Tamandua tetradactyla: one gene and its partners. The protein of the gene in region 2 interacts with the protein of the main gene of each other region in a biochemical or structural test. Links are inferred from orthologs where the notes say so. Each region holds a gene or a part of one and is shown on either strand. Other genes may lie near its edges.

Region 1 (7,933 bases), on a different chromosome or scaffold from region 2:
CCGGGGCTCCAGAGCCAGCCCAGCGCGGGCGAGGTCGGCGGGCCGGGGTGCGGCGGGGTGCGGCGGAGAGCGGCTAGGGCGGACAAGCGCCCAGGAGAGCTCTCGCCACACTCCATACCCCCTTGAGCCCGCGCACGTGATGGCACCTGGGGAGGGGGCGGCTGTGTGCGTCCCTAGGAGGCTGTGCCCCAGGGCACATTCAGACCAGGAAGGTGGGCATTTAACAGCAACAAGAGCAGACAGAAGTCCAGCACTATCCCCAGTATTCAGCGCTGTGTCAGAACCCCAGGACTTCCCCATAACCCAGGTTGGCTAGGAGAGGAATTTCCCAGCTTGCTGTGGAGGACTGGGAACAGATTAAATTTTATTTAGAGAAATAAACCTGGCATTTCTTACATCCTCTGTTGTGCAGTAAAATACACAATCATTTCATTCGCCATCAAGGGAATACATTAATGACTTGTCTACAGAGTTCCTTGGGAATTCAGCTCCATTCCAATTGGCTTCAGTAGCAAGTAACAGAAAGCCCATTGCCACCCAGTTTTCAGAAGCAGATTAATTAACTCACATGGCTGGCAACCCAAAGATGGAGTGGACTACAGGACATGCCTGATCCAAGAATTCTGAACTTAGGCTGATAGCAGTTCTAGCCTGACCACATCCAGAGGAAGAGGGGCCTTCTCACCCTACTGGCACTCTGGAAGGAAACATCTCTGTCCGCAAGGTCCCTGGTCACCTCTGCCTACTGGTCAGAACTGAACATGCCACTGCTGAGCCAGTCCCTGCAGCAGGGGAGTGTCTGCAGGAGTCCCTGAAGCGAGCACTGTGGCAAGACCAGGAATTACCTGTCACCTATCAGGCTGACCCCTGGAGCAGAGAGGTGATGCTCAGAAAAACAATTGGGGTGCTTTTGGCAGCACTGTTCGTTGGCAATCAACAAGGTTTCCCACCTTGCCCCGCCCTCGGGGACCTGGGAAGCTGCTCAGAAAAGGTGTGAGGGCACCTACAGCCTTTTCCAGGGACCCTGCCCTGAACAAACCTGGGTGGGAGCAGGCCTTGGACAGGCCTTGTGTGGGAGATCGGTGGTACACACACCCCTTGCCATGTGACTTTTCACCTCCTCCCGGTGAGGTGCAGACTGCCTCTCCCAGCCCTTGCATCCAGGCTGGCCCTGGGGCTTGCTTTGGCCAACAGGGTACAGCAGAAGTGGCCATGTGCCAGTTCTGAGCCCAGGCTTCAGGGGGCCTTGGAGCTCCCACTTGCTGTCCTGGAATGCTGCCCAGCCAAGGGCAGACAAGTAGATAAACAAAATGTGGTATATACATACAATGGAATATCATGTGGCAATAAGACAAAATGAAATCCTTACGCATATGACAAAAATGGATGAAACTTGAAGACAGAATGCTGTGTGAATTAAGCCAGACACAAAAGGATAGATACTGTATGATCTTGCTATTATAACCTTAGTGAAGGTAAACTCAGGCTTATAATGTAGAATATAGGGGACCTAGAGATACATACAAACTAAAGATGGGTGAAGGGTTAGCTACTGAGGTTGAACATAAATATAAGGGAATGGATAGAAATGAAGGTGGTTCATTAAAGTAATATGCCATATTGAAGGTGAACATGATGACGGGTTGTACAGAGCCAGGTATCCTACTGATCAACATTACAAATATAAAATTCTTGCATGAACTACTTCAAAGATATGGATCTTGTACAGAGAGTCCATAATAGAGGCATATGGGGGAAAACTACTCTTGCGTGCAATGGGCTATGTTTAACAGGAACCCATCAACGATAACACAGCAATATCAGGGGTAAGTATTGGGGGGAAGGACAAGAGTTAAGGGGAGGTTTGGAATTTCTATGTGGTGAGAGTGTGTTTATCAGTTATTTTTCCCTTTGGAGCAATGAAAATTGCCTAAAATCGAGAGTATAATGTTACACTATTAAGTGAGGATAATGTGAAACATGGACTGTTGACTTTGGGCATTGGACATGATGCCCAATGGATGAAGGTGGCTGAAGAATGCACTGACTGAGAAGTAGAATGGCAAACTGTGCTGTATACATGATGGGATATTGTGGAGGCTACAGAAAGAATGAAGTCATGAGACATACAACAAGGTTAATGAACCTTGGGGACATTATGTCATGCAAAATAAGCCAGAAGTAAAACAACAAATATAGTATGATCTCTTTCAGAAAATACGTGTAAGAAAATTGGGGCCTAGTGTAAGCTCTTAAAGCAGTCACATTTAGTCCAGAGTTGTAAATGTTATTTCTAGATTTTGAGTTACTGTGCTGTATATGTTTAAGCAGGTATCTCCCTGGAAGTTTGGCTATCTGTATGACACCTAAGACTCAGAGCTGGAGTTCTGCAGTGCTAAAAGTCAGCATTGCTACATACCACAACTGTTAAGGAAACCAAAAAAGAGTTCAGGCTTCAAGGACAGAGAAGAATGAAGCTGATCTGGTCGGGACTAAGGTCAATTAGAATACAGGGTAAACAATGACATCGTATTTTAGAACTTCATCTACTGTATGAGACCAAAGAAAGAGAGGTTTATTTTGTCCAAAATCTAAATTTTCTGTAGCACATACTCTAACTCAACCTATCTGGACAGATCATTTAAACAACCCAAACACACAGAGCCCAGAATGGGAATGAGGGCTTGTTATTCTGTATAGCTTAATGTAAGGCCTGGATACATCCCAGAGTATGTTGGGCAGTTAATTAAAAAGTATTGGCAAAGTGCCTTGAGGGACAGGAGAAAACTATGGAACTATTAGGCTTTACTATCAGGGAAACCCCTAAGACTGTCTCAAACTTTAGGGACTCCCAAGTCAAGGCCATGGACTTGATCTTGAGGCTTGCGCTTATAAAGCTTATTTCTGTAGCCAAGAAACAAAGCCTACCTATAGTTATGCCTAAGAGTTACTGCCAGAAAACCTCTTTTGTTGCTCAGATGTGGCCTCTTTCTCTCTAAGCCCAGTCCTGCAAGTAAAATCATTACCCTCCCTGCTACATGGGACATGACATCCAAGGGTGGAGGTTTATGGCAACATGGGACTGGACTCCCAGGGATGAGCCTGGCCCTGGCGCCCTGGGATTGACAATGCCTTCCTGACCAAGAGGGGGAAAAGAAATGTTACAAAATAATTTTATCAGTAGCTCAGAGAGTTCAAATAGAGTCAAGAGGCTATTCTGAAGGCTACTCTCTTATGCAAGCTTCAGCTAGATATTGCTAATTACCCTGGTGTGCCAAAGTCCAACCAACACCTTTCCTGTTAAACCTAAAGAGAGCCTAGGGCTCTAAAAGTCTGCAAAAGTTTCATGCACTAAGATTACTTTCCAGAAACCTACAAGCTTAAGATGGTTCCTGCTAGATAAGTCCTGAAACCCAGAGGGGACAGCCTCTTCAAGTACCTCAACTAGTTCCACCCCCCATCCCTTATTATTGACACCCTCTTTCAACATGAAAACGTTAGAATGGGCATAGCCCAAATATCCGTAAAGATTGGGAGAAGTATCAAAGGAGGAGGAGGAGTCGTAAGGAAGAAGATAGGATTTAACAAATGAGTATGATTTATATTATATTATAAACATTATATTGATATTCTGTTTAGTCTCCAGTGCTTGGAGCAGTTAGAAGGAAAAACCTAAAATTGTGGCACTGTAATCCATACTGAACTCTGGAATCTGTTCCATAAGAACTTGCTACAATACACTTTGAAATTTATTGCCTTTTTTATATATGTTATATTTCACAATTTAAAATTTTTCAAAAACTCAAACCTTCAACCCATATTTTACAATGGAAGCAGATTACATGAAATTCAAGCAGATTATTGGTCCATGTAACTCAAAACTACTCATGCTCTGGTTATGATCTGCTGGTATGATCCTCACCTAACTCAATATTCCTGGATTGAAGATCCCTTGAGGAGACAGCATTTGGGGTGTCCTTACTGCCTGGGGGTGCCTAGGCACCACAGATGATGGTCAACAGGGACAAGCTGGGTTCCTTTTCCTGGTTGCCACGGCAACAGTCCCTCCAAGCCCAAGTCCAGGCCTGGGTCCAGGTCCTAGACCGATGCCTCCTGTCCGATTCTGACCTGTAGCCCTCACCCAGGGCCTGGCATGCCCTGTACACTGCTGTGCGATGTGTGCCCCACGTTCTCCCTCTGAGGATAACCCAACAGTTGAGACTTGATTAAATGACGGCGCTGGGATTCAAACCCGGGAAGTATGCACTCTTTTGAGCCTGGAGTTGCCTGAAATGCCCCCCAGAAGCTCCTGACAGCTCCAGGCGTCAGCCACTAAAGCCCCTGCCTCGGTCACGGTCTCTTTCGAAACCTCGACCCCGTCTCAGTGCTCCTCCACGGGTTCAGCTCTGACTTTTCTGACCCACTACCCTCCCACCTGGCACACCTGCTCCCCAACCTGCCTCCGGGCACACTGCGCAGCCTTCAGCTTCCTGGACGTATCAGGGTTCTGGGACACAGGACCCCTCTTGCTGGAGCGCTCTCCTTCCAGCCCCCAGGTCTCTTCTGCCGGGAGCCCTCCCGGCCTTCCAGCTGCCGTGCCTCCTCGGGTTCCCGCTCATACGCTTCCTTTCCAGGCGGCCGCGAAAGGGTCCCGGGATCAGGCCCTCGCCGGGAGAGAGACGGATTCGCCGGGCCCAGGGCCTGGCTCATCGTGGGTCGCGGGCTCCCCGGAGAGGCTGCAGATCCAGGGCCAGTTTCCGGCGGGCAGCCTGGGGGCGTCGCTCCAGGAACGCTCTCCGCAAAGGCCTACTGAACAGGAAGGGAAACTGAGGCCCAGGGTGAGGACGGGATTAGGCCGCGGACTAGTGTCCAGCCCCACGCGTTGTCCGGCGTGCCGGACTGTGACCTAAGAGGAGTGACTGGGGGGCGCTGAGCTCCGCAGACCACAAGCGGGCCGGCTCGGTCTGCGGGCTGCCGGGGTCACCAAGTCACGCGCCCCCGGCCCACACACCACAACTCCCGAGATGCCACGCGGTGGAGAGCCGGTCCTCCTCGGCTCTCGCGGAAACATGGGAGCTTGAGCGGGAGGACGTGGGTGGGGCCGGAAGGAAGCCCTTTTCAAAGGAGTAATAGATAGTTTTCCTAGCCAATAGGATTGAAAATATGATTTCTCCGCCTATTGGCCGAGGAGGTAGGGGCTGTGGCGACCAATGGGGACGTGCAAGGGGCGGAGCCGAGGTCTCCAGAGCGGAAGTAGCCCTCTGTTTAGGCGGCGGCGTCTTGCTAGTTCTCCTCCGCGGTTTCCGAAGGTGCTTTCTCTGCGGGCTCGTTGGCGACGGCGCTGCGGGACTAAGCCAGCTCCACGTAAGGCCAGGCGTCGCGGGCAGGGAGCGGTAAGTCGGCGCTCCGGCAGATGCGGGGTTCAGGCTGCCTCGCGGCCTGCACAGGCCTCATTGCAGGGGCTCGGGGAGCTGCCCTGGCGCCACTCAGGCCAGCTCGGAGCCGCCCCCTCAGGGATCTCGGCCGACTCCCCGATCTCCGGCCCGCACGGATGGACGGAGGCCGGCGCTGGCAGCGGAAATGGGAAGGCCTCCCTCCGCCCTCGGCGCCCCGCAGCGGGCCGGCCGTGGGCTTAGCCTGTAACCTACGGAGGGAAACTGAGGCTTGGGGAGGGCACCGGACGCGTCCAAGGTCACTCGGAGAGGCGAGCCGGGGCAGCTCGGGGCTAAGGCGCGGGCCTGTGCGGGCCGTTCCGGGGGAGCCGTTGCGGGGTTTTGTTCCGGGTGGCGAGGCCTCCTTTGTGTCGTGCCGCCGTCGCGGGGCCTGTGTGGCCGCCTCGGTGCCTGGACCTGGGGGTGCTCCCTTCCCCGACTTGAATGGGGAAGCTTACGGTGCGGGTGGGGGGGGGGTCGGATCCTCCAGAGAGCGTCCGCCCGGCGCCTAGCTTCTAGGAGCCGCGCGGCTTCGGGCAGCTCCTTCCTACCGGGGGTGGGGGGGTGGGGCGGGAACAGGCTATGGAGGCCAGGCCCCCGCGCCTGGAGCGCCTACTCCGCCCCTGCGCCCCTGTAGTCAGGGGTATGGAGATTATTCAGATTCTTAAGGCCTGAGATTCGAAACACTATACACAAAAAATACCCCCTTTTGATCCGTTCGGGGAGAAGGAAAGGAAATTGAACCTGGGGGAGCCTGCGGTGGCTGTTTTTTGTGTGTGAAATTTCGGCTTTTGTCTTATCCTTGCTACAGCCCATCACATTCCCAATCCTTCCTCCGCTCTGCGCCTGCACCGAGTGCCCAGAGGCAGTCTCGGGGTCTCAGCTCTGCAGTCTTCAGGCGCAGAGTGCCCAGAGGCAGACTCGGGGTCTCAGCTCTCAAATTTAGTCTTTGCACTCAAATTTAGGCTCCCTAAGTGGTCGGGGAACTGAGGCCCAGAATGGTGGAGCGATCTGCCCGAGCTAGTTGGCGTTACAGCCCAGGTTTCCTGGCTATGGGACCAGGCTTTTGAGGTCAGTGACCGAGAGTTTCTGGAGCCACTGGTAACGAAAGGCGGGTATGTTGGCAGCAATTGCTTTTCTGATGGTTTCCTTTTGAAGGGGTGGGAGACTTGTTGGGCTCAATTTTATCCATGCGTTTGAGGTGAAATGGGAACGTTGAAGTGGAAACATGTACTGCTGGCCTTTCTGTTGATTTTGAGCTCTCTGCTCTGACTCAAAAATGTTCCTTTAGTACAGTGTTTCTCAATCTTTATTCCATGATTACTCCCTAACATCCTTTCAGGCTTTTTCCAGAATTACTTCTACCTTTAAATTTCTGTGCTGCATATATACTATGTTTTTTTTTTCAGATATGCGTTCTACACCTCCCTTTCTTTCAGAGTTTTCTGTTATACCTACATATGCCTCCTGAACTTGTCCACATTTTGCTGTTATTCTGTTGTTTTTCATCTTCTCTCTGTTTTATTTTAAACAGTTTCTGTTTTTTTTAACGTACTGCATGTGTGTCTGTGTTTTTTAGTAAAAACGCTATTAGAGATTTTTTGCCTCTTTTGAGAGTGCATGCTTTAGTTTACTAAGTCAGCACATTCTTAAGGTGATCTCTGTGCCAAGCTTTCTGCTTGGGTTACAAGATAACATGGGGCTGGCCGTTGTGAAGCTAAGTAGGGAAGGTGGAGAGAGTGAGAAAAATCCCCGGCAGTTGAAATATAGGTTGAGAGAGATGTGGTGTGTCAAGAGTTGAAACTGCAGAGGTAAGCAGGCACCGGACCACGAAGGGTCTTGATCTTAAGGCCAGTGGGAGACTACTGAATTGAGTTAATAAGCAGAGAAGTAACACAGTTTGCATTTTAGAAAAACTGCTATTCGTGAAAAGGATGAATTAGAAAGGTAGACAAGAATAGTGGTCCCTGGGCCACAGTTAGGAGGAAATAGAGGTAGCTTAGCCAGGGGTTGAGTGAAATGATGGAGTCAGGAACGTGGTATCTGTGATGGTTGCTTGGCAATCACTGTTCTTTGCTTACAATTCTTCTGGGAAAAAAATCCAGGTGCTACTCAATAAAAATATGTGCATAAAGTAATTGGTTTATATGATGTGTAAAAATGGATTTGCGTGTATATGTTTTGTCTTTATTTTGAAATTATTTACCTACATCTTTAACTGTACCCAAATTTGTGGTCTTTGAAGGATAAGATCGCTCATATAGACTGTTATTGGGCTGACCCTTTATCATTGAGGTATGACTTGCATCTGTATTCTTTCAGCTTGTCTCTCCTCAAGATCCTGTTTCTCAGGTGGGCTGCAGGCATTTTGAGGTTTTCGTTGAGAACAAGGGCCCAGAGCACAGCTCTGCCCCAAGGTAAGGGTTCAAGTTTGAGAAAACGTGAAGTTTGGGTATAGGGATGGGAGTGTGGGAGTGGAGGTTGCTGCTGCAAGGATCAGA
Region 2 (6,849 bases):
AGGACATTTTTCCACTCAGCTGTAAGGTAGATTAAAAACAACAAACAAAACAAAATATATTGACAAATGTTAATTTGCTTTGAGAATCTTTGAAATTGACCAAAAACAACGATTGCCTTTATGAAACACTTAGAGTTGAGTATAAGCAACAGGCCAAAAAATAGGAGTGTTCAAAAGTTAGATGGGACTTTGAAGACTTCAGGTTGACTGAAATAAGCCAGACACAGAAAAACGAATGTTGTATGATCTACTTTATAGGAAATAGCTAGAATATGCAGAATGATAGAGACAGAAAGTAGATTATAGTGTCTGGGGTGGGGCCAGGGGTGGGGAATGCTGAGTTCATGCATAAAGGGCTTGAAGTTTCTGCTTGGGAGATGGAAAAGTTTTGACAGTGGATGATGGCGATGGTAGCACAACACTGTGAATAATAAGCATTATTGAACTGTGTACCTGAAATTGATTAAAATGGGATATGTTATGTTCTATATATGTTATCGCAATAAACTTTAAAAAACATCAAAACCAAACAAAACCATTACCAAAAAAGTTATATTAGGTCTCTTTCTTTTGAATCAGTTGTAACCATTTCCTCCCAAAAATGGAAATTCCTATTGCTTTCCTCCTGAAGATCAGCTTAGGTCTGTAAGCACCTTGATCTTGAAGTGCTTCTACTTAAAGGTACCTGATACTCTAAAGATGACTTGGAGAGCTGGATCATTCTGAGAATGAGGAATAAGTCCTCGTAAAAACTAGAGCCTTCTTCCTCAAAGCCCATAGATATCGCAGGACTGCAGCACTTGGGGTTCTGTGGCTGGATGCATCTTTTAAACTTAAATTGAGAATTCCTATCAAAGAACTCGGTGTATGTATACGCATTTGCTTTCACAAGTATAGACTACATCAGGAAGTACCCACAGAAAACTGCTTTCAGGGCTGGGGAATTGGGAAAAGGGCAAAAGGATATTTTCTTTGTATATCCTTTAGTATCTTTTAATACAGCACAAAAATAAATTACCTATTTAAAATATGTCCATAAATGTAAAATAAATAATGAGGAATATTCTTGGGATGGGGGCAGGAAGCTTCAATAAAGGTCATTGATTGCTTCAAGTCAATATTATAAATTCAGAGATTATTTTAGCTTGCCTCCACCTTTCTCCTTCCCAAGTATGTCTTTATGGTTAATATATTCCTGAAATTATTACCAGAGGTTTTTTTTTTTATATTGAATACGTTTTTCTCCAATGTCACTGAGCTTCTCTCCTACCCCACTGCCATTCCCCCAATCTTGCCATGACTGACAAAATCATCTATGAGCAGCATGGGCCATTGCCACAATTTTGCCACCGACTTACTACATGACCTTGGACAAGACTTTGGCTTTCTTTGCCTTCATTTCTTCATCTCTGATTTGAGGAATTTAAACTAGATGAAATTGTAGGCCCCATCAAGTAATAAAATCCTAGGATTTCTTGACTCTTTCTCCTTAGGAGTTTTTTAGATACTAGTCATTAATTATAAGTCATAAAGACCCTGTGTCAACAACATTCCTGAGAAGAAGGACCAGAGTGGAATTATAAATAATTTGTTTTGTGTTACTGTTAATAAACCACCTTCACTTGGCTGATCCTTTTAACAATTTTGTTAGGCAGCACAGTGGTGCTGTTATGCTTGACCTTTATATTTGAGGAAACTGAGGTTCAGGGAAGGCAATTCAGTTTGTTAGGCCTTGTAGTTAATAAGTAGAAGAACTGGTTGCAAATGAATTTTTATGTTTATTTTTCTGACTAGTACAACTGCATATTTAAAATCTGACCTAAAGATTAGACTTTTGAGAGGAGTGGATTCTTTTCTAAACATTTGGAGGGTTTTATTCCCCCCTCAGAGGGTCCTTCCCCCAAGCCATGAAGCATTAACCAGGGCTAGTGCGAATTAGAGATAAGAAGGAGCAGTACACAAGAGACAGCGGGTATCTTCTGAGACACGTGGTTGAGAGAACACTTCCCCATTTAGGAGGAGCCTTTAGATTATGTTTTATATCCCCAGGGACCAGCACAACCCAGGTATCAACAATGAAACACAAAATGCCATGTTCATTTTTAAAAATATATATATTATTATAGTTAGCATCCAAGTATACAATTTATGCAAATCATAATTAAAGGAAAAAAAAAATCCATCCACCATCCAGGTCACTTCAGCAAATCAAACTTCTAATTTTCCTGTGATCTCTACTAGCTTTTATCTTTATGATACATTAATGATTTTTTTACTGGTAGAAATCATAGCACAGATATGTATTTTTAAATATTTGAAATCCAAATGTTCATAACAGGGAGTCTATATTTTAATAACTGCATTTATGTTATTTTCCTTACCCAAACTGAGTTTATTTAATCTGTTTGCTGATTGTTTTCTCTTGGTTTATATCGTTTTCATTAGAAGTACAAAAAGTATACAACTTATTTTCAAGATTTTTTTGTTTGCTTTCAAATCCAAACAGCATGAATGTCATTCTTTTTTATATGCTCTACCCGGACTCCTGAAACCAAACTCTGAGAAAGGTTATCTCTGGAAAACGTTTTCAAATCTAGTATATGCCTTAGGGTGGTTAAGGGATAGCTCTGTCTGGAGTAGGAGACTGAAATGATGACCTACAAAGTCTCTTTCAGTTTCTGGACTCCTAGATTCTATGACAATTCTTGGTAGATAAAGGTTTCCTGGTAAGGATTGAGCAAGAAGCATACCTTATTGCTTTATGAATCTTGATAAAGTTGGAGTTTCAGGTTGAAGGCTAGAAGAAGTAAATTAGCTGGGTAATGAGAATGCTTGTTTTCCTGATTCCTATGCCATGGGTTTCTACATTTTGTTGTGGTGTCCTGTGGTGAGTGAAGCCACTGTTGCCATGGAAAATGATGGCAATTTGAATGAAGTAATTCAGAGTGGCCCCTGGAAAACTGGACTGGGCTGTCTACTTCATGTATAAGACCTTGCACAGCACTGTTTGTTGTTATTTAGATGGAAGACATCTCTTCAGTTCCCTTCAATTGAAATGGCAAATAGGTGAGAAACTAAACAGTAATTTGATGGTTTAATACTAAAAAAATAGTCTTGGTAAAAACGCAAAGTAAGGATTAATGCAGAAAAATTACTAAGTGATTTTTCTAAAAATATTATTATTATTTGAATAACATTTAAAGTTGAGGCTGAGGAGGTACAAGGGACCCCAGAACTTTGCATCTAATTTCCCAAAATCAAACTTTCTATCTAATGTAGGTTAACACCAAAAATTATCAATCTAGTCTAAGTACCTGGCTTATTCTCAGTGATTTCTTGCATTTGCAAACCTGTCACACTTTGGTTTTACCTGTCATGAAATCCTTTGTATCATTAAAAAAAAGTCACATTGATTTCTATTAAAAAAAAAAAAAAACTGGAAGAATCCTCAATTTTAAATATCATGTTCCTCGTGCCCTGAACAGAAAACTCCCAGTTTGGGATTTTTTTCTCAAAGGCGTGCGTGCCTAAACTCTTAGCAAGTAATTTGCCACAGGGAGAAGCAAGTGTTAGCCCAAAGGAAAACCCCTTCTATGGGGTTTTCTTTTTTCCCTTTAAGCTGATCACTTTTTAGGAGGAGTTCCCGCTGCATTCTCTAGTCCAAAGTCCTTGCCACCAGATTACCATCTTTTCCACCAATCTGCCAAAGCCTTCATTGGAAAAAACTTCCTCTCTAGTGTCCCCATATGCATTCAGTTCCAGTAGCTCCCTGCGCCCCCATTTCGGACTGGCTTTCAGGATCCAGTTCCCCAAACCACTTCAGGGAAAATTCACACCCTTAGCCCCCTTCCCGGGTGTCCGGAGGAGGCGCCGGGGTGGGAGTCGTGTGGACCGAGGGGGCCGGGATTTTCCGGGGTCCCCGGTGTCCTCCTCGTGTCCCCCACCCCGAGGTGTGCAGGGGGGAGGGGAGCGCGGGTGGGTGGGACTGGGCCGTGTGGGGGAGGGGTGAGGGCGAGGAGGAGGAGGAGTGTGTGTGCGAGCGTGTGTGGCTGGGGGAAGCCATTGCCTGTTTAATAGTTGCTGTTGCTGCACTTCCGCTTCTCTCCCAGCGAGAGAGACACGAGTGGCCAGGCCCAGCCGCAGCCGCAGCAGCAGCCGCCGCGGCGGCACGGAGGAGCCAGACACAAAGAGAGGTACGGGGATCCCCCCGCCGCCTGCCGCCCCCTGGCCGCGCCGCGGGGCCTCGGGGACACCCCTTGCCGCCTCTCCCGACCCGCGCCGCCGGGACCGCCGGGCACGGGGTTGGAGGGGGACGGCGAGGGGCCCAGGAGCCCCAGGGGTCCGGGGCCCGCCCGCGGGGGATGGGTAGGGACCCCAGGCCGCGTGGGGTGCGGGGGCAGCCCGCGTCGGGGGCGGGGGGGGGCATCGTGGCTCGAACTGTCAGCGCTGCCCCGGGAGCCCCCCACTGGCCGCCGAGGGGGCCGGGAGCGGGGGGAGGGGAGTTGGGGGAGCCCAGTTTTCCCCTGGGGTGGGGGCCCGCGGGGATTAGCCCTCCTGGGAGGGCGGACTCATTGTTATTCCTTCGCTGCGGAGGCCGAGTTTCCCCCCACCCCCACCTCCCCAGGGGTGGCGGTCGGGCGTGGGCTCGGGACCCTCAGCCGCGGCCCTGGAGCCCGACTGGGGTGGCCCAGGGGCAGGCCAGCAGGGAGGGGCGTCGGGGCGCAGCGCGTGGCGGGGGGGGGGGGCTTGGGCCTCGTCGCCCCTGCCCCCGCCGGCCTCTCCCTTCCCCCACCCGGGCACCAGCTCCCCGCCTCCGTCCCCCCGTTTCGGCTTCCTCTCTTACTCCTCCCTGCCCCTCCTCTCTTCCCGACCTCGCTAAACTCCGCTCCTGGCCGCAGCACCTCGCTCCGGCCCCCGGCCCCCCGCGACCCTCGAAAAGCCGACAAAAACAGCCCCGAGGCCGAGCGGCCGTCGGGACCTTCCCCCCTGCCCGGCCGAAGCGCCCAGTGCCCCCGCCCTGTCCTGCTCCTCCGCCTACTCGGCCTCTCCCCACCCTGCCCCGAGGGGAGCCCCGGGGGGCGAGGGAGGGGCCGCTTGCTTTACTGCAGACCGTTTTCCCACCGCGTCTCCGACTGGAGCCAAAAATAAACAAACCCGCCGTATCGGATTTGCAAAAGCCTTAATGCGGCTGGAGACTTCGAAAAGCGAGTGGAGGCCGGTGGGCGCCCGGGGGTGCACTCCTTGGCCCGTGCTCTCCTGACAGCGCCCGAGTTCCTTTATTTACACCGGCTGTATGGTTTGTTTCTGTTTTGTTTCCCTCACCCTATAGGGGCTGTTTGTGGGGTGGGGTGGGGGGGTTCGCTATGTCGGATGACGATTCGAGGGCCAGCACCAGCTCCTCCTCATCTTCGTCCTCCAACCAGCAAACCGAGAAAGAAACAAACACCCCCAAGAAGAAGGAGAGTAAAGTCAGCATGAGCAAAAACTCCAAACTCCTCTCCACCAGCGCCAAGAGGTACGGTACTCTTCCCACGCCCCCATCCCACCCCCACCCCGGAGGCTTCCTATTTTCTGAACCTTCTCGGCTTGGTTTGGTCTGCCACCCAAGTGAAGGCAATTTAAGTGTCCTTCATGGTTGTTTTATGTGTTCTTAAAATTGAGAAAAGGGCCTTAGAAGCCCTCATTACTTTCTCTCTGGCTTCTTCTTTTTCTCTTTTAATTATTGTCCATATGTAGTTTCTGTGGTTTGCCTCTCCTATATCTTATTGAGGTTTGTAAGAATCCTCATTACCTTTAACAGTGACCCCCAAATCTGATTTCATATTACTTGTCCTCTTAATCACTGATCTGTCACCCTCCCTACAGCTGTCATCCCTCTTGTTAATTACTAATACCTGCCTGGACAACTCTGTATCACAGTGAGTTCTATTACCCTCTCACTTCCTCCTCACCTGTTGCATGTATGATCTTTTTTGAATAGAGCTTTTTCCGCAAATTGCATAAGGAACAAATAACTCATATCAGTAAGGTAGAACATTTAGGAGGTGAAAATATGTTTTTAAAAAGAGTTTTCTGTTTGGAGAGTTGAGGGAAATGAGTGAATAGATGATTGTAAGATGGTTATTGTAGGTTGTTTTGCTATTTTGTTCTTGTTAACCACATTTCGGGAAGACTAAACGTTTTTTTTCATGCTGTTTGCTCTTGTGCTGCTGTAAAAGATTGCATTTTTCCCCAAGTTGAGTCTCTCATGTCTCAACTTATGTCTCCTCTTATGTCTCTGGAACTAGCTACCTTTTACCTCTGTCATCCCTCAGTAATGTCCTCTGATTCTCATGACCCTTACAATAATCTGGGAACCGCCAGACACCCTTTCATAAGTCTTCTGTTCTCAGTCGTTAAAATATAAAGTGGTAAACCAGAAAGACTTTAAGGAATCCCAAGTGGTAAGTTATATAGGGGATTTCTTTCTTAAAGGAATTTAAAATAAAATGGAACATGAAGCTTTAGATCTTTCTGCTGAGTAGTCAGCCCAGAACTTGGAGTTTGAGAGTTTGTTGTCATTCTGCCTGACTTGAAATTTGAAAAGTTGGTAAAGCACTTTGGTAATCTAACCATGGGCTGATGAAGGAAAGACTAGCTTGTTTTAATGGTGTGTATGTCTTGAGTTAAATGGTAAAAAAGATGCCTATGCAAGATTGTTCCCATTTTCAGAGGGTTGGCTTGATTGCATCTCAGCCTCCTACAAGTCTTAATGGGCCTTTATTGATTAGCGCTGTTGCTGGTTCTCTCAGAACCCCGGACATCTACCGTGCCCAGTTTGGATGGGTCTTCCTTGACCCTGGACAGCTT
Region 3 (7,553 bases), on a different chromosome or scaffold from region 2:
AGATTCAAAGTTTACTATTATTTTAGGTAACACAACGAATGAAAATATACAATTAAAGTGTGAGTCAATGCTTTTTTATCACAGTGACTGAAAGATGCGGCAACAATTTCAGAGAATTTAAACATGAAAAAATATGCAATGATAATCTATGAAAATTACTTTAACAAAAAAAGAATTACCATTCTGTCAATTAAAATATTGGATTATAATTGCATTTGCAAATATGCTGCTTCCTAACTAAAATATTTTTAAAACTTGAAATATACAGAACTGAACAATTAGGACATGATTTTTCACATTATAAAAGGTGCCAATTCATTTAAACAAATTCATTTTAAATTATTCCATTTTCAAAAAATAAATGTTCCCAAGCCGATGAAATGGTTCTGCTTAAGCTGCTTCCCTATCTAAGGCACAGTGACATGTTCTATTTGTACCTGTTCATGATGATCAGAAGAAAAGAATATTAACACTGAGGTCTATATTTCAGTTCAGGGTGTTTGGAATTCATGCAAATCCCATTTATTCTCCAGCCAGTAGAGATGAAATTGCTAAAGCTGGATAAGAGACCAAGAGGTGGGACTCATACTAGACACACTACAGAAATCCTGTCCTCTGCAGAAAGGATGTTATGACCCTCTCCAAATTTAAACTGTGAATTACCAATATCACTACTTAAGTATTATACATCCTACCACATACTTGAGCCTAATCTACAGCTACATACTACTCCCCTAGAACAGCCTGTGCACAGCCAGCATTTGCAGGTCTCTAGCAATGACAGAGGCCTTATCTGACAGCCCTCAGTGCTGGGAGGAGCTGAGGAGAAACCCCAAGGTCATAGGAGAAGATAGGATGCCATGTCTCTTGACAAACATCTTCTTGGGTGGGGAGGTTGATTCTTTTTTCTTTTCTCCCTTCCTCTTCTGTTTCTTCTATTCCTTAATTTCCCATCTACCTCCAGTTTTTCCTCTCTCCTGCTCAATCCTGCCAGTGACACTCAAAGTAAGGTTAACTTAAGCATGACAGCAGGATAATTTTAAAAAACAAAACAATACAACAAACACAAACAGTTTTATTTAAACGCTTTAAAGCCAGGGTTCTTAACCGGGAGGGTGGGGGAGTGGGATCCACAGATGGACTATGGAGAGTCCTATGAACACCCTGAAATATATGAAGCCATAAATTTTAAACAGATTCTCAGATGTGTGATTTCCAAATAAGCTAAGAATCAGATTCTGAATCAATTTACATTTATTGAGCACCCAATATATAGTGTATTAGGTCTTTCACATTATCTTATTTAAACTTATTTACCAGGAAGTAGAACATGGTGATAATGCGATTAAGTTATTTGTTTTTTCCTACTAAAACATTTACAAATAATGTGAGAGATGAATTTAGTTTTTTGGTTTTAGGTTAGTGTTCTCCATCTTATCTGCACATTAGAATCTCGTGAGGAGCTTCTCTGAAGAATCCCAATACCTAGGCCATACCCCAGACCAATTAAACAGAATCTCTGGGAGTGGCTCCAGACATGAGTAGCTTTCCAAGCTCTCCAGGTGACTCCAGTAAGCAGTTAAGGTAGAGAACCTCTGCTCCAAGCACTGTTTCCCTTTGATAGCTCACCACCTATACCACCAGACCTCATTTTCCCAAGCTGCCACCCAGGACCCCTTAATTCAGGGCTCTGACCTTCATTTTCTTCTACCTGATTCTCTCCACTTAGCCTTCAAGGCCCACCTCCAAAGCTTCTCTTCCATGTCATTTTTTCCCAATTGGACATCACGTTTTTCTTTAAAATCCAAACTTTTTTACTGTTACTTTCCTAAGACATTGACACATTCGAACCTGCATTACAGTAGTTTTAAGAACTGGCACTTCCTCTCGCGCCTTAGTTGCTCAAGGAGGACCAAGTCTTTTCTATCTGTGTATTAATTTCAGTATCCAGCAGTGTCCTGCATTAAGACACTGGGAAAAAATTGCACTGGAATGAAATGCAGTGTGCTGGAATGGGGGAACAGATATATAGGCTCAGTCATCACTCTGCCACATCCCTCTATAAGCTGGAGGTGGGTCACAATTAACAGTGATATTTAGTGGTTTGTGTCAGGCACATGGTGTTCAACCCTTTAAAATGCATAAATCCGTGCATTTAACTCATGCCACCACCTGAAGCAACTCTATTCTTAAATCCATAACAAGTAATGGAAAAATATCAGTTTAGGTTCCCTTGTGGCCCAAGGTCACACATGCAACAAAACTAAGTATGGAGTCAAACCACGCTGTTTCTTCATCTATAAGACCGCAATGAGAATAAAACCCGGCGGCATTAGCTCATTCAAATTTAATATTCGTTTTGACAAATGGGAAACCACACCAGTGTGGGAAGCCCCTCTTGGCCGGGTCCCCTTTCGGCGTGGGAAAATACTACTCATACTGCGAGGCCACACCTCGCGGACTCCAGCCCGGGGTGGGCCCTCGCCCGGATCAGCACGCCGCCGCCCGGGTCTCCACTAGCGCGCCGGCCGCCAGGCGTGCTGAGTCGTTGTTTGTGCGACTCAAACTACACCCTGAGGCAGGCCTCAACCTCGTTGTCCGCCTCAGCGCTTGGCACACAGAGGGCGCTGTGCAGGCACGCCGGCCGTGGGCTCGCCTGGGTGTCCCGAAAGGGCAGGGACTGGATCTTTCCCTTCCTGCTCCGTGAGCGCCCCGGAGAGTCTGAGCCGCTGCGGGAAGAGGGAGCCCGTCCCGGGTTTGGGGGGCCGAGGCCCACCGGGCAGTCCCGGCCCGGCCGCCCTTCCTGCCTCGCGCGCCCGGAGCGCGGTCCCCACCGTACCTTCCGGCCGCCTCGCCGTGCCGGGTCCAAGAGTTCCGTTCCCCACCCTAGCCCGGGCCCCCTCACCACCACTCGCCGGCCCGGCCTAGCGACGCCCGCCTCAACCCGCGCGCCGCCTCTTCCGCCGTCGGAGCTGTCAGCTGGGTCGGGCGGAGCCGACTGAGGCCGTGCAAACTGAGGCGGTAGCCGGCGTGAGGAGATGGCTCCGCGCAGCCGCCGTGATCGCCCCGGGCCCTCCGGCGCCCCTCGCAGGCCGGAGGCGGTGCTGCAGGCGCGACCACCCTCGCCCCACCACCGCCCTGCAAATTTTAATATGCTTTTAGAGAAGTTGATAAAAATGCAGATTCTGTTCTATAACTACTCTTCGAAGTGTACTTTGAAAAGCATTGCTTTTTCTTTCTCTTCTTTGTATATGTGTTATATTTAACGTTTAAAAACTGCATATTCTGGGACCTCACGCTCAGAGGATTTCTTTCAGTAAATCTGAAATGGAGACCTGGAATTCCAGATGGTTGTTTTTTTTAACCAATTCCTAGAGGTCACCATGAGGCCAGCGGTCAGTTGAGGATGCGGACTGGGACTGGTAGGGAAGTTCTGCTGCCTGTGGAAAAAATACCCCTACCTTGACTACTTTCTCAGAAAAGCTAAACTTTTCCTGGCACTGCACATGAAAGCATTAATTCAGCTCATATTTTGACAATGAGCAATTAGGGTGATTTAAACACTGTGCAAAATGCTGTGGGTACATTTTCTTCATCTTTAGTATAACCGTATAATTAGGAACTATTTGCTATTTTCACTTTACGAATAAGACTTAGAGAATTTTTTTTTTAATTACCGAAGATCGCCTGATTATAGAGAGGCTGAGAGGGCATTAAAATTCTATGCCCTTAAAAAATAAAATACAAAGACAAAAATAAAATGAAATAAAATTCTATGCCCTCTGCTTCACACCATATAAAAAAAATTAGCTAAAAATAGACCAAAAAACCTAAATATAAAAGCTAAAAAACTTCAAAACTTATAGAAGAAAACATAGGAGTAAATTTTCTTTCCCTTGGATTAGGCAACAGTTTCTTAGATATTACACTGATGAAAGCATAGCAATAAAAGAAAAAAAATAGATAAATTGTGTGTCCTCAAAATTAAAAGCTGTGCCGCAAAGGACACTATCAAGAAAAAGATAACCTACAGAATGGGAGAAAATATTTTCAAATCATATATCTGATAAGGAATAGAAAATTCTTGCAACCTAGCAATAAGACAGCCCAATTTAAAAATGAGTTAAGAATCTGAATAGACATTTCTCTAAAGAAGGTAGATAAATAGTCAATGAACACATTAAAAGAGTCTCAACATCATTAGTCATCAGAAAAATTCAAATCAAATCGCAACGAGAAACCACTTCACACTAGGATGGCCATCATAATAAAAATCTTTTCAAAAGGAAAGTAAGTGTTGGCAAGGATGTCAAGATATTGGAAACTTCATAAATTGCAGGTGAGAATGTAAAATAATGCAGTCACTGTGGAAAATAGTTTAACAGTTCCTCAAAAAGTTAAACAGAATTATCATATGACACAGAAATTCCACACCCAGATATCTCTCCAAAAGAATTGAAAAGATATGTTCACACACAAAACTTCTGTATGAATATTCATAGCAGCATTACTTATAATAGCAAAAAAGTGGAAAAAAGTCCAAATATGCAGCTAATAAATGGATAAAACAATTGTTACGTATCCAATCAATGGAATATTCTTCAACCACAAAAAAAGGAATGAAGTACTGATAAGTGTTACAACATGGATGAACTTCAAAAGCATTTGACTAAGTGAAAGAAGTCATTCACAAAAAGTCACACATTGTATGATTCCATATGAAATGTTCAGAATATACAAATCTATAGAGACAGAAAGAAGATAGGTGGCTATCAGGAGTTGGGGGAGAAAGGAATGGGAGGTACCTGCTAATGGGCACTGAATTTCTTTTGGGGATCAATATACTTTGTGAATATATCATAGTCTACTGAATTACATATTTTTAAAGGATAAGTTTTATGGTATGTAAATTATATCTCAGATTTTAAAATCAGATGCAAAGCATTGTTCTCAGCACTTACATGGGACATGGGGATGCTGGCTTCTGCTCCTCCGAAACCATGAGTCTAATTTGCTCTTAATGACCTAATAAGCTCCTGCTTATTATCATATACTTCTTCCCTGCCTCCCCTCTCCCCCCCAAAAAAAAGGAACTTACAGAGCTGGAACTTTAGCCCAAGCCTATGGGATTCTAAAGCTTCTGTTGTTCATTACCACTGCCTCCTGCAGGGTCGCTTCATGGGCCAGTGTCCTCTGCAGTTGCCCAGGACTCTGTAGGTAAAAGGTCCTCATGGCCATTGATTGTATACTTTGGATGGATTGTATGGTGTGTGAGTATATCTCAACAAAATTGCATTACAAAAGCCGGGGTGTGGAGCACTCATGTGTAGAAGGATCTTGCACTTGTACTTAACATACTGCTGTCACCACCACCTTGAAATTCTTAATAATTTTTGAATTATTATAATTCTTTGATTCTTACGACTTTGAGGCTCCACATTTTCATTTTGCACTGGGCATTGCAAATTATGTAGACAGTCCTGTTTCCAGGAGAGAGGGGAAGGAAATGAAAGAAGGTCAATCAAGGTGCCTGTGGAAGGGATGTGGGTCTCACTTGGCTGCCGTAGACAGAAAACTTTTGAAATGCAAATAATCCCTCCTTAAAAAAAAATCACTCCTAAATTTTCTGTACTGTAGATATTATCACATAACAAGAAACCAACTACCCCAGTAATAGGTACCCAAACCAGAAACATATGCCTTATAGATGGAAAGGAAGGAATAAGAGTCTCCAAAGCCATTTGCTAATATCAGTATTCAAGTTTAACCAAAGGAAATAAAACCAAGAGCAAAATGCATGACAACCCTACCTCAGAGTGCTCAGGTCAGAACAAGAATCCTGCTGGATCACTGCCCTCCCCTTCTCTCTACATGGGACATAACTCCCAGGCGTGTGGACCTTCCTGGCAACGTGGGACAGAAATCCTAGAATGAGCTGGGACTCAGCGTCAAGGGATTAAGAAAACCTTCTCGACCAAAATGGGGAAGAGAGAAATGAGACAAAATAAACTGTCAATGGCTGAGAGATTCCAGAGTCGGGAGGTTATCCTGGAGGTTATTCTTACACATTATATAGATATCACCTTTTTAGTTAAGGTATATTGGAGAGGCTGGAGGGAAGTGCCTGAATAAGTAGAGCTGTGTTCCAGGAGCCATGTTTCTTGATGACCATTGGATAATGATATAGCTTTCCCAATGTGGCTGTGTGATTGTGAAAACCTTGTGTCTGATGCTCCTTTTATCTACAGTATGGACAGATGAGTAAAACATATGGATTAAAAATAAATAAATAATGGGGTAAGAAATGTTAAAATAAATTGAGTAGATTGAAATGCTAGTGATCAATGAAAGGGAGTGGTCAGGGGTATAGAAAAAATAGGAGAAATAAAGGCTAAAATATACTGGGTAGATGGAAATACTAGCAATCAATGAGAGGGAGAGGTAAGGGGGATGGTATGTATGAGTTTTTCTCTTTTTTCTTTCCATTTCTTTTTCTGAATTAATACAAGTGTTCTAAGAAATCATCATGGTGATGATATTATGAGTTTTTTGTTATATACCAAGAATGGAATGATCATATGGTAAGAATGTTCATGTTTGTATGTTCTTATGTTTAAAAAATATTAAACATTTTTTTAAATACAAAAAAAGAGAGAGAGAGAATCCTGCTGGAGATCTCTCAGATGCAAAAATGAGAGGCTCCTCGAACCAGGTAAGGGAAATTCTCACAAAGTTGGAGCAGGAAGTGAATTGTGACATCATTTCATGACCTTATATCAGAGGTCAGGGGATAGGGGGACTAGAAGAGAAAATTTCAGAGCAGTGTTAATAATTTAGATAATGTTTACAGTGGGCTAAAGACATACATTTCAGTTTTAAGGTCAGGAGTCTCCTAATAAGTTTTGTTTGCAGACTCCATAAAAATTGCCGACTCGCGTCTTTGGCTTCATGTGCCTGGTTAATCTTTTAAATTGAGTTCTCTTTGTGTGCCCAGCACTCTGCTGAGCTAAACTTTGCATGCATTATCTCATTAAAATCACTTAGGTCATTTTGTCTCTCCATTCTATAAATGAGGAATTTGAGGCACTAAGGGTTGAAGTGATTTGACCTGTCTGGTACAGTGGTGGAGCCAGGACTAGGACCAATTCCTCGTCAGTCTGATCCCTCTCCCATATCCGGTAAGAGAATTAGGGTTTGTTATAACAGAAATGCAGAGAGAATGAAATAGTCCTGGCCTTAAGAATCAAAATGGGAGACTTAGGGAAGCTGAGATTAGAGTTTATGTTACAACGATAGGTGAGAATGAGAATAGAGAGAGAGACCCAATCCTGTCCAGTGTCACCAGGCATACTAGTTGATAGAGTCCAGCGCTAAGGGAGGTTGAGGTGTGTGACCCAGACCAGAGCTCAGAACAAGGTCAGCACATAGAGAAGTTGGAGAAAACCATAAGAATGCATAAGAATAACCTCCAGGAAAACCTCGACTCTGTATGGAATCTCTCAGCCATTGACACTTAGTCTCATTTCACTCTTCCCTCTTTGGTCGAGAAGGTT
Region 4 (6,963 bases), on a different chromosome or scaffold from region 2:
TTCTTTTCAAAAATCTAACCAAAAAACTTAAAAGTATAAGATGCTGAAAATGAATTTCAATACATGGTTACATTTATCCATGGACTTTAATACCTGATATTACTCAAATACTTACATCTAGTTTTTCAGAACAGGATATATCATAAATATCACTATTAAAATTCAGTTTTAAAAACAAAGAAGTTTTAAACTCACACTTAAAACATACACAATAATCTAGCTAACTTTAAAAAAGGGTAACAGTATTTTTAATAGATACCAAAAATTACATTTTTCTAAGTAATATTTCTTAAATTTTTCTATTCTGCTTTATGTTATCTTGAAGCCCTTCTCCATACTTATCACAAAGTCATAATTTTTCACTGGCTTCAATTAAATTAGGTATCTGTAATTGTCTGGGTCAGGGCATTTAACATTGCAAATGAAAATGTAAGTACTAAGTCAGTGCCAAGAAGGTAATCTTGGGCTTTGACAAAGTAAAAGGAAGGTAATTTTACTGGTAGTGAGGTAACATACATTCTTACCTTCTTAATTTTCCTTCCAAAGAGAGCCAGGATTTAATTAATATAGAATTACATTATTTGCATTAAGATGGTATAGTGATTAAAGAGCATAGAGACATTTAAAGGGGCAAGTTCTGAGTAGAAGACGTGTCTTTTAATAAGAAAACAATCTCCAGATGTACATTTATGTATCTTTTGACCTCTAGTTCGTTGCTGGGCAAAAACCAAAATGCCTTTCCCAGATCCAAAATTTGGTCGCAAAAACATAAAACCCAAGGCACTTTTTTTCAACTGTTCCCACTAACTTTCATGTACCTTTAGCACTCTTCAACACTCCCAAGTTGAAAACTGCCTACTAAGATATTTATTCAAATGCACTAACCAACAGAATTAGATAATGCAACATGTTGCATAAAATACTTGATCGAGCATTATCTATTCAGGCATGCAAGGAAATGTCAGTTTACAATAATTGTTTTTTGTGTCATACTTTTTTTGAGGGGAAAAGAGGCATGGATTTAATTATTTATGTTATAATACACTTATTTGCACTACGTAAAAATATACAATAGCTGGGAATGAAAAAAAAAAATCTTTTAAAACCTTACCTGTAGGGCGGGCAATGGTGGCTCAGTGGCAGAGTTCTTACCTGCCATGTCAGAGGCCCAGACTTGATTCTAGGAGTCTGCCCATGTCAAAAAAAAAAAAAAAACCTACCTGTAGTCTCCAAATCATTCATTCATTAGCAGTCTTGACAACTGTTTAACCTTCAAATTCAAATACAATACTTCTTCCCTGCTGTGTGCATATATCCCAAATAAAAACTAAACAAAACAGCCTAGATATATTTCATCCTAATAAAGTTATCTGTATAAGTATATAGTAGATAATAATTTAGAGTGCTGGTTTTAGATCTTAAGTTCCTGTCTTCATATAGTTTCACAATAGATTTTGTTTCTCTTAAATAGTTCTACAGTAGATTAAGTCGAATTAAAATAACATAAACATAAAAACGCTTGTCTTCAAAATAAAGTTGTTTTTCCTGTGAAATACCAACAGCATGAATTTCGAAAATCTCTACTGCTTAGTTCTGATTCAGTTCAGATTTATGTTTCCAGATGAACTTGAATAACTGTCACCTAAAAAAGCTCAACAGGATTTATAAAAATTTATATATTTATATATTTTCAAACGTCATTCACCAAAAGACACACCACGCTAGAAAGCTAAGCAAAAATGGGCAATATCCTTAGGTTTCATCATGGCTGCAGAGAAAATGTCAGTTAACTAGAGTGATTTTCCCAGTGATGACTAGACTTGTTTTTCATTTTTAAATTAATTTTATAAACAAACCAGAGTTAAGGAGTGTTGTCAGTGCATAGAAACGCATATATTTTCTAAATCCACCTTTCACCTTTCTGGACACACCACATTTGATTTGTCGAAATCAAGTGTTTTTAAGTGGACACTCCTCAGTAAATCCTCAAACAAGGTCACCGAGACTTCAATATATAACACGGAACAAGTCTGTGACAACGAATCCCCAAATAGTAGTTTCTTACTCCTACTGTGCTTTCCGCTAATTTTCAGGGATAATCCCTAAAATGTCTTTGCCTAACAACCCTGGAAGAAGAGACCTCTGCTCCTTCTCAAGATCATAACATTTATAAACAACCCTAATATTCACTTCCAAAGTGCCATTCACAAAACTGCAATGTGTTCAGAAATAACCCTTAATCCATATGCGAAAAGCAGGAGACACCAAGTCTACAATCTTAATAGTTCATTCTTCTTTGATCTCAGACCCTCGATGTGAGATTGAATAGGGAAAACCCGAGAAGCAGGACGTTTACATTCATTTTAAGGAATCTCTGGGTCCCACCCACCATCAGCATCGTCCTGCTGTCCCTTCCCTGAGAGTCCGACTGCTTGGCTAAGTTTTCCCCTCCAGAGCCCTGCGGAGAGTGAGCTCCGATCGGTCCCACGCAGACCGCCAGCCAACCAGGCTCCTGGGAGGAGGGAGCGGGAGGCGGTGCGAGCGCCAAGCGGCCCTCGGGACTGACCACGCGGCTACCGCCGCGCAGGCCGCGGGGGGAGGGGCCACTCGCCGGCAGGAAGCGGCACCCCCGCTGCCCTTTAGCTGGCGTCCCTGGCGCGGCTGTCCTCAGGGAGTCCCTGTTCAGTCTCGGGCGGATGAGGGGGTGTTAGGCACACACACTTATTCTCTAGGACGGACACGACAGGTCGGCGGGGGAAGGACACCCGGGCGGCGCACTCTTTTTCGCCCTATCAGGACGGAGAGCACTAGCGGGCTCTCTGGAATGCCCTGGGCCCAAGCGCGGCGCCACGCCACTCCGTACCTGTGAGGCGCCCACATACCTATCATGGTCACTGAGCAGGTGGCGAGTGCTCGGCAAGCAGCGACCTAGGGCACACTGGCGCCCGCCGCCTCCCGGGGCTTAAATGACTCCGGACCTCCCCGCCCCTGCGCCCGGCGAGGTCGCAGCACGCATGCGCGGAGGCCGCGCGGCCGCGGCCTGCCGGGAATTGTAGTTCGACGCGCAGCCTCCCCTCCATCTCGCCGCCTCTCGGCCACTTTTTCCGGCTTCAAGGCCCAGGAAGCGTACGTCACGACAGACGGAGGCCATTGGGCCGCTGTGTTGATACGTCGCTTAGCAACCACGAGGCTTACCTTTGGAAGCTTGTTGCAGCTCTAACCACGGTTCTGCCCTCTTCCCGCCCCTCCCCTCCCCCAAACTCCCTTCACCTAGGAGCTGCCAAACATCTGGATCAGCCTGGGCACTACGAGGGGTTGAATTTCTAACATTATTGCGCCCTTTGACGTTTTTTTCCCGACCTTCTCACATCTGTAAACCCCACTGATTCTTAGTACACTTTTTATGAGAACAAGACATTTTCTAGAAAGATGGTGGCTGAAAAAGAGACCCTGAGCTTAAGCAAATGCCCAGACAAGATGCCGAAGAGGACCAAGCTGCTGGCACAACAGCCGCTCCCGGTGCACCAGCCGCACTCCCTGGTTTCTGAGGGCTTCACAGTCAAAGCCATGATGAAAAACTCAGTCGTAAGTGATCTTCCTGATTGAATGCACTCGCTCCGAATCAGGGTACACGAGATTATTTGTTCTAAGCTGGCCGTGTGATGGATTCTGAGCTGTTGTCCTCGGTGGTCTTTGCCAACAATGACAATTACTCCGCCAATGGCAGGCAGTGCCCAACAATGTGTGGGGTCAGACTAGGTTGGCTAGAAAGGATCCTGGACAAGAGATATACTGTGCCCATTTATAAGTACCTTTCTAATAACTCACAATTTCTAGGAACCCAAAATTACTCTTAAGCTATTTACACAAAGAAAAAAGATCCCCTTTTTTTCAGCTCCTAAAATAGCCACACTGGCACAGGGCCTGATAGAAGGTGAGGTCTTAGGAGTTATTCTCACTCTTGCAAAATTTAACAGGAGCTGATGTACTACTAGGAACAAAAACTCATGAAATCATCAGTAATAACTGCTTAACCTAGGGGCATTTAGGTTATCTTACCATCCACGCTAACAACACGCATCCTTACAAAATGACATGGGCTTATTTGAGCACTGAAAGGCAACCTAATAGGAAGTCAGTCCATTCATGACAAATCTTTTAAATGATACTTTTTAACAATCCAAGTCTATTTGTAAAATGCATATTTCTACTATTTTTGATAATAAAAATAAAATATTCTTAATATTATTACAAAAACAATTAAATGCCTGGAAATGGTTTAGCTATATGCACGATAGTTGTTTTTTTAAATCCTATTTGTTAAGTAGCTTTAAATTTGGTATGTTAACAGATTTTACTACTGAGAAAGCACCTGTCTGGGAATGAGACATTAAATAATAAATACAACTTCCAAGTTTGTATAATTTATACCCTGGGAGAATCTGATTTATTTTATTGTATCTCATTATATTATATGAATAGTGTTGCTTCCCAGTGTCACATTATTTATTTTACTTAAATGTTGCAAATTTAATACCTTATTCCTAAACCCTATTTATAAAATACATGTATGAAACAGATTACATCTAGAGCTCTATGTCAGATTCCTAAATTACTATACAAAATAATATTCACTTTATTAATGTATATGTCAGTTGACCTATAGTAGTTAAAATCTTGGGAGATAAACTAAAATCCCTGCTTGTTGTAACTGCAATATTTCATGTGAGCAGATTCTCATGGGAGCCCAAATGAGTCATCAACAATACAGAATAACATAACCATTCAAGTTTATCATTTACATTTGCTTCTACCCAATATTTAAATAATAATTTTGATGATATTTTAAATGTTATATTTTAATGCCACAAATGTAGAAAAATGGCCAGTTTCTTTCTCTTTTTTTTTCTAAACATATATTCTTACATTCTTATATCAGATTTATTCTTAGATATAAACTTACACCTAGTCACAATACTGGAAAATTGGATATTTCTGTATTGCCAAATGTAACAAATGTGCTTGTAAGATTCAAAAACATTAATCTTGAAGCAGTTCTCTTTACAAAAAAGTATTTGAGATAAATTATCTTCTTTTCATATATTTAAGGAAAATCTTTTAGTATAATACATTTATCACCACTGGGATCTCCAGTAACTCATCTCTTGATAAGTCATTATTTTACTTCACTTAGTGAAAATCGTAATTGTTAGATACAAACATGATTCATCCATTCAGTCAGTTAACAGCGTTTTTACTTTTTGTTTTTGTTCTTTTTGAGCACTTACTACATGCTAAGCAGAGTTCTGGGGATTTGGGATCAGTAGTGAACAAAGCAAAGTCCCTGTAATTAATTCTCCTAGGAAAACCACTGCCAACAACAGTAAAGACTTGATAAAACAAATATAGGCAATATTTTTTTAAGCAGACTAATTCAACTGGCACAGGAAAAAAAAAAGGTGTCTTCAATTTCCAATATTTACATGTCACCATTTCCCTCTTCAGCAGCATAGACTTTGGCACAACCTTGGCCGTAGTATAATAAAGACCATAACCAGAAACCAGGAACCCAGTATTGTTTTGAGTTCATCTGGACACATACTTTGTGCTTTATCTAACTTATAAAGCAAGTTAGGCTGTGGGCCCAAGATTTTGATCGAGAAGTTGTCTTCAACTTAAACTTTCTACTACATCTTTACTGCTCAATGGACTACAAAACTTGTATGCCCAAAGTTTAGGGAATGGAAGAAATAATTCTTTAATGTTACTTTACATACACAGATAGTTTAACATTTACCAATCATAAATTCATCCAAAGTAGTAATGATGAATATTTATAAATTATGTATTAAGATCTTAATTTGCCTGCTTCAACAGAGATCAAATAACAATAGACTAACTAAGAAACCAAGTTAGAAGTTGTGCTCTCCCATATGGAAGTCCAAGCTGATAGCAAACCTGAGAGTTTGGACACTTCCCTGTGAGGTAGGTCCGGGGCCACAGGAACCTCCTGCATACTTACTAGGGTGATGTCCTTGGTCAAAGTTAACTTACCACCACCAAAATTAAGTCTCAGCTCTCAAAAAGAAAACAAATAAGTTCCTATCAAGGGCATGGCCCAGATGCTATACCCCATTTTCACTTCCATTCCACTGGCCAGAATTTAGTAATATGTCTTTATTTTCCCTTTTTGCAAAAGCCTGGGAAAAAATTGACCCTTGAAGGAACTCCCAGGTTCCCATAACTGTTACATCAGAAAAAGGTCTGTGAAAATTATGTAGTTTCCAATACCTTATGGTCTCCAATACCTGTTTCAGCAAAATGAGAGAAAAATGGGTAATGAAAAACCTGCAAGAATAAGGCACCCAGCTCTCCATTTCCAGAATTTGCATTCATCACTTCTGCTCTTATCTCACTCTGGAAACTTATTCTCATAGCCATGTCTAGTTGCAAGTGAGGCTGGGACATGAAGCCTCTAACTGATAGCTCTGTGCCTTGCTAAAACTTGAGTTTTATTCCTATAATAAGGATGAGAAAGAATAAATAGAAGTCTCTGATGCAGGAGTTAAAACATGTTATATTGCTGGGGAAGAAAAGGAGATAGGTAAGTAAAAATAATTGTAATACCAATACACACATATTTATGATAAGGGCTTTCAAATACTTATTCAGTACAGTAGAAATACTAAAGATGATAGAAATAAGTGACAATAGCCTGACTGAGACCTTCATCGCCTTTTGTCTAGATTTAACAATATCATCCAAATTCATCTCTGGACTCTACTGCTTAATTGCCTCAATCAATTATCAGTAATTGTCAGTTATTTACATAAACTTTTCCAGTACAAAATTCTACTCATTTCATTACTCAAAACTCTGGAGGTCCCTAATTCTTATTAAAAAAGTCAAATCATTCCTTAGGGCCATCAAGTTTTTCTATGTTTTAATTTCATCTACTACTCT

The links.
Region 1: the proteins of UBE2E1 (region 2) and RNF4 form a complex in vitro, tested with the Homo sapiens proteins (2 studies listed by BioGRID, with this or other methods). The link is inferred for Tamandua tetradactyla from reciprocal best matches to the Homo sapiens genes UBE2E1 and RNF4.
Region 3: the proteins of UBE2E1 (region 2) and RNF14 form a complex in vitro, tested with the Homo sapiens proteins (3 studies listed by BioGRID, with this or other methods). The link is inferred for Tamandua tetradactyla from reciprocal best matches to the Homo sapiens genes UBE2E1 and RNF14.
Region 4: the proteins of UBE2E1 (region 2) and PRKN form a complex in vitro, tested with the Homo sapiens proteins (2 studies listed by BioGRID). The link is inferred for Tamandua tetradactyla from reciprocal best matches to the Homo sapiens genes UBE2E1 and PRKN.

What each region holds. Positions count from the first base shown.
Region 1 is NC_135345.1:2,217,436-2,225,368, forward strand, and holds the start of RNF4 (E3 ubiquitin-protein ligase RNF4), read left to right. Parts: upstream 1-4,926; 5' UTR 4,927-5,393; intron 5,394-7,933. UniProt on the Homo sapiens protein: E3 ubiquitin-protein ligase which binds polysumoylated chains covalently attached to proteins and mediates 'Lys-6'-, 'Lys-11'-, 'Lys-48'- and 'Lys-63'-linked polyubiquitination of those substrates and their subsequent targeting to the proteasome for degradation.
Region 2 is NC_135341.1:64,540,472-64,547,320, reverse strand, and holds the start of UBE2E1 (ubiquitin-conjugating enzyme E2 E1), read left to right. Parts: upstream 1-3,842; 5' UTR 3,843-3,950; intron 3,951-4,088; exon of another isoform or gene 4,089-4,109; 5' UTR 4,110-4,193; intron 4,194-5,177; exon of another isoform or gene 5,178-5,293; coding exon of another isoform or gene 5,294-5,296; intron 5,297-5,329; 5' UTR 5,330-5,363; coding exon 5,364-5,515; intron 5,516-5,575; exon of another isoform or gene 5,576-6,849. UniProt on the Homo sapiens protein: Accepts ubiquitin from the E1 complex and catalyzes its covalent attachment to other proteins. Catalyzes the covalent attachment of ISG15 to other proteins. Mediates the selective degradation of short-lived and abnormal proteins.
Region 3 is NC_135346.1:22,074,686-22,082,238, reverse strand, and holds the start of RNF14 (E3 ubiquitin-protein ligase RNF14), read right to left. Parts: upstream 3,020-7,553; 5' UTR 2,906-3,019; exon of another isoform or gene 2,840-2,905; intron 2,812-2,839; exon of another isoform or gene 2,454-2,811; intron 1-2,453. UniProt on the Homo sapiens protein: E3 ubiquitin-protein ligase that plays a key role in the RNF14-RNF25 translation quality control pathway, a pathway that takes place when a ribosome has stalled during translation, and which promotes ubiquitination and degradation of translation factors on stalled ribosomes.
Region 4 is NC_135337.1:66,442,587-66,449,549, forward strand, and holds the start of PRKN (E3 ubiquitin-protein ligase parkin), read right to left. Parts: upstream 3,008-6,963; 5' UTR 2,890-3,007; coding exon of another isoform or gene 2,883-2,889; intron 2,877-2,882; exon of another isoform or gene 2,390-2,876; intron 1-2,389. Other genes in the region: PACRG (parkin coregulated gene protein), read left to right, coding at 3,430-3,585. UniProt on the Homo sapiens protein: Functions within a multiprotein E3 ubiquitin ligase complex, catalyzing the covalent attachment of ubiquitin moieties onto substrate proteins. Substrates include SYT11 and VDAC1.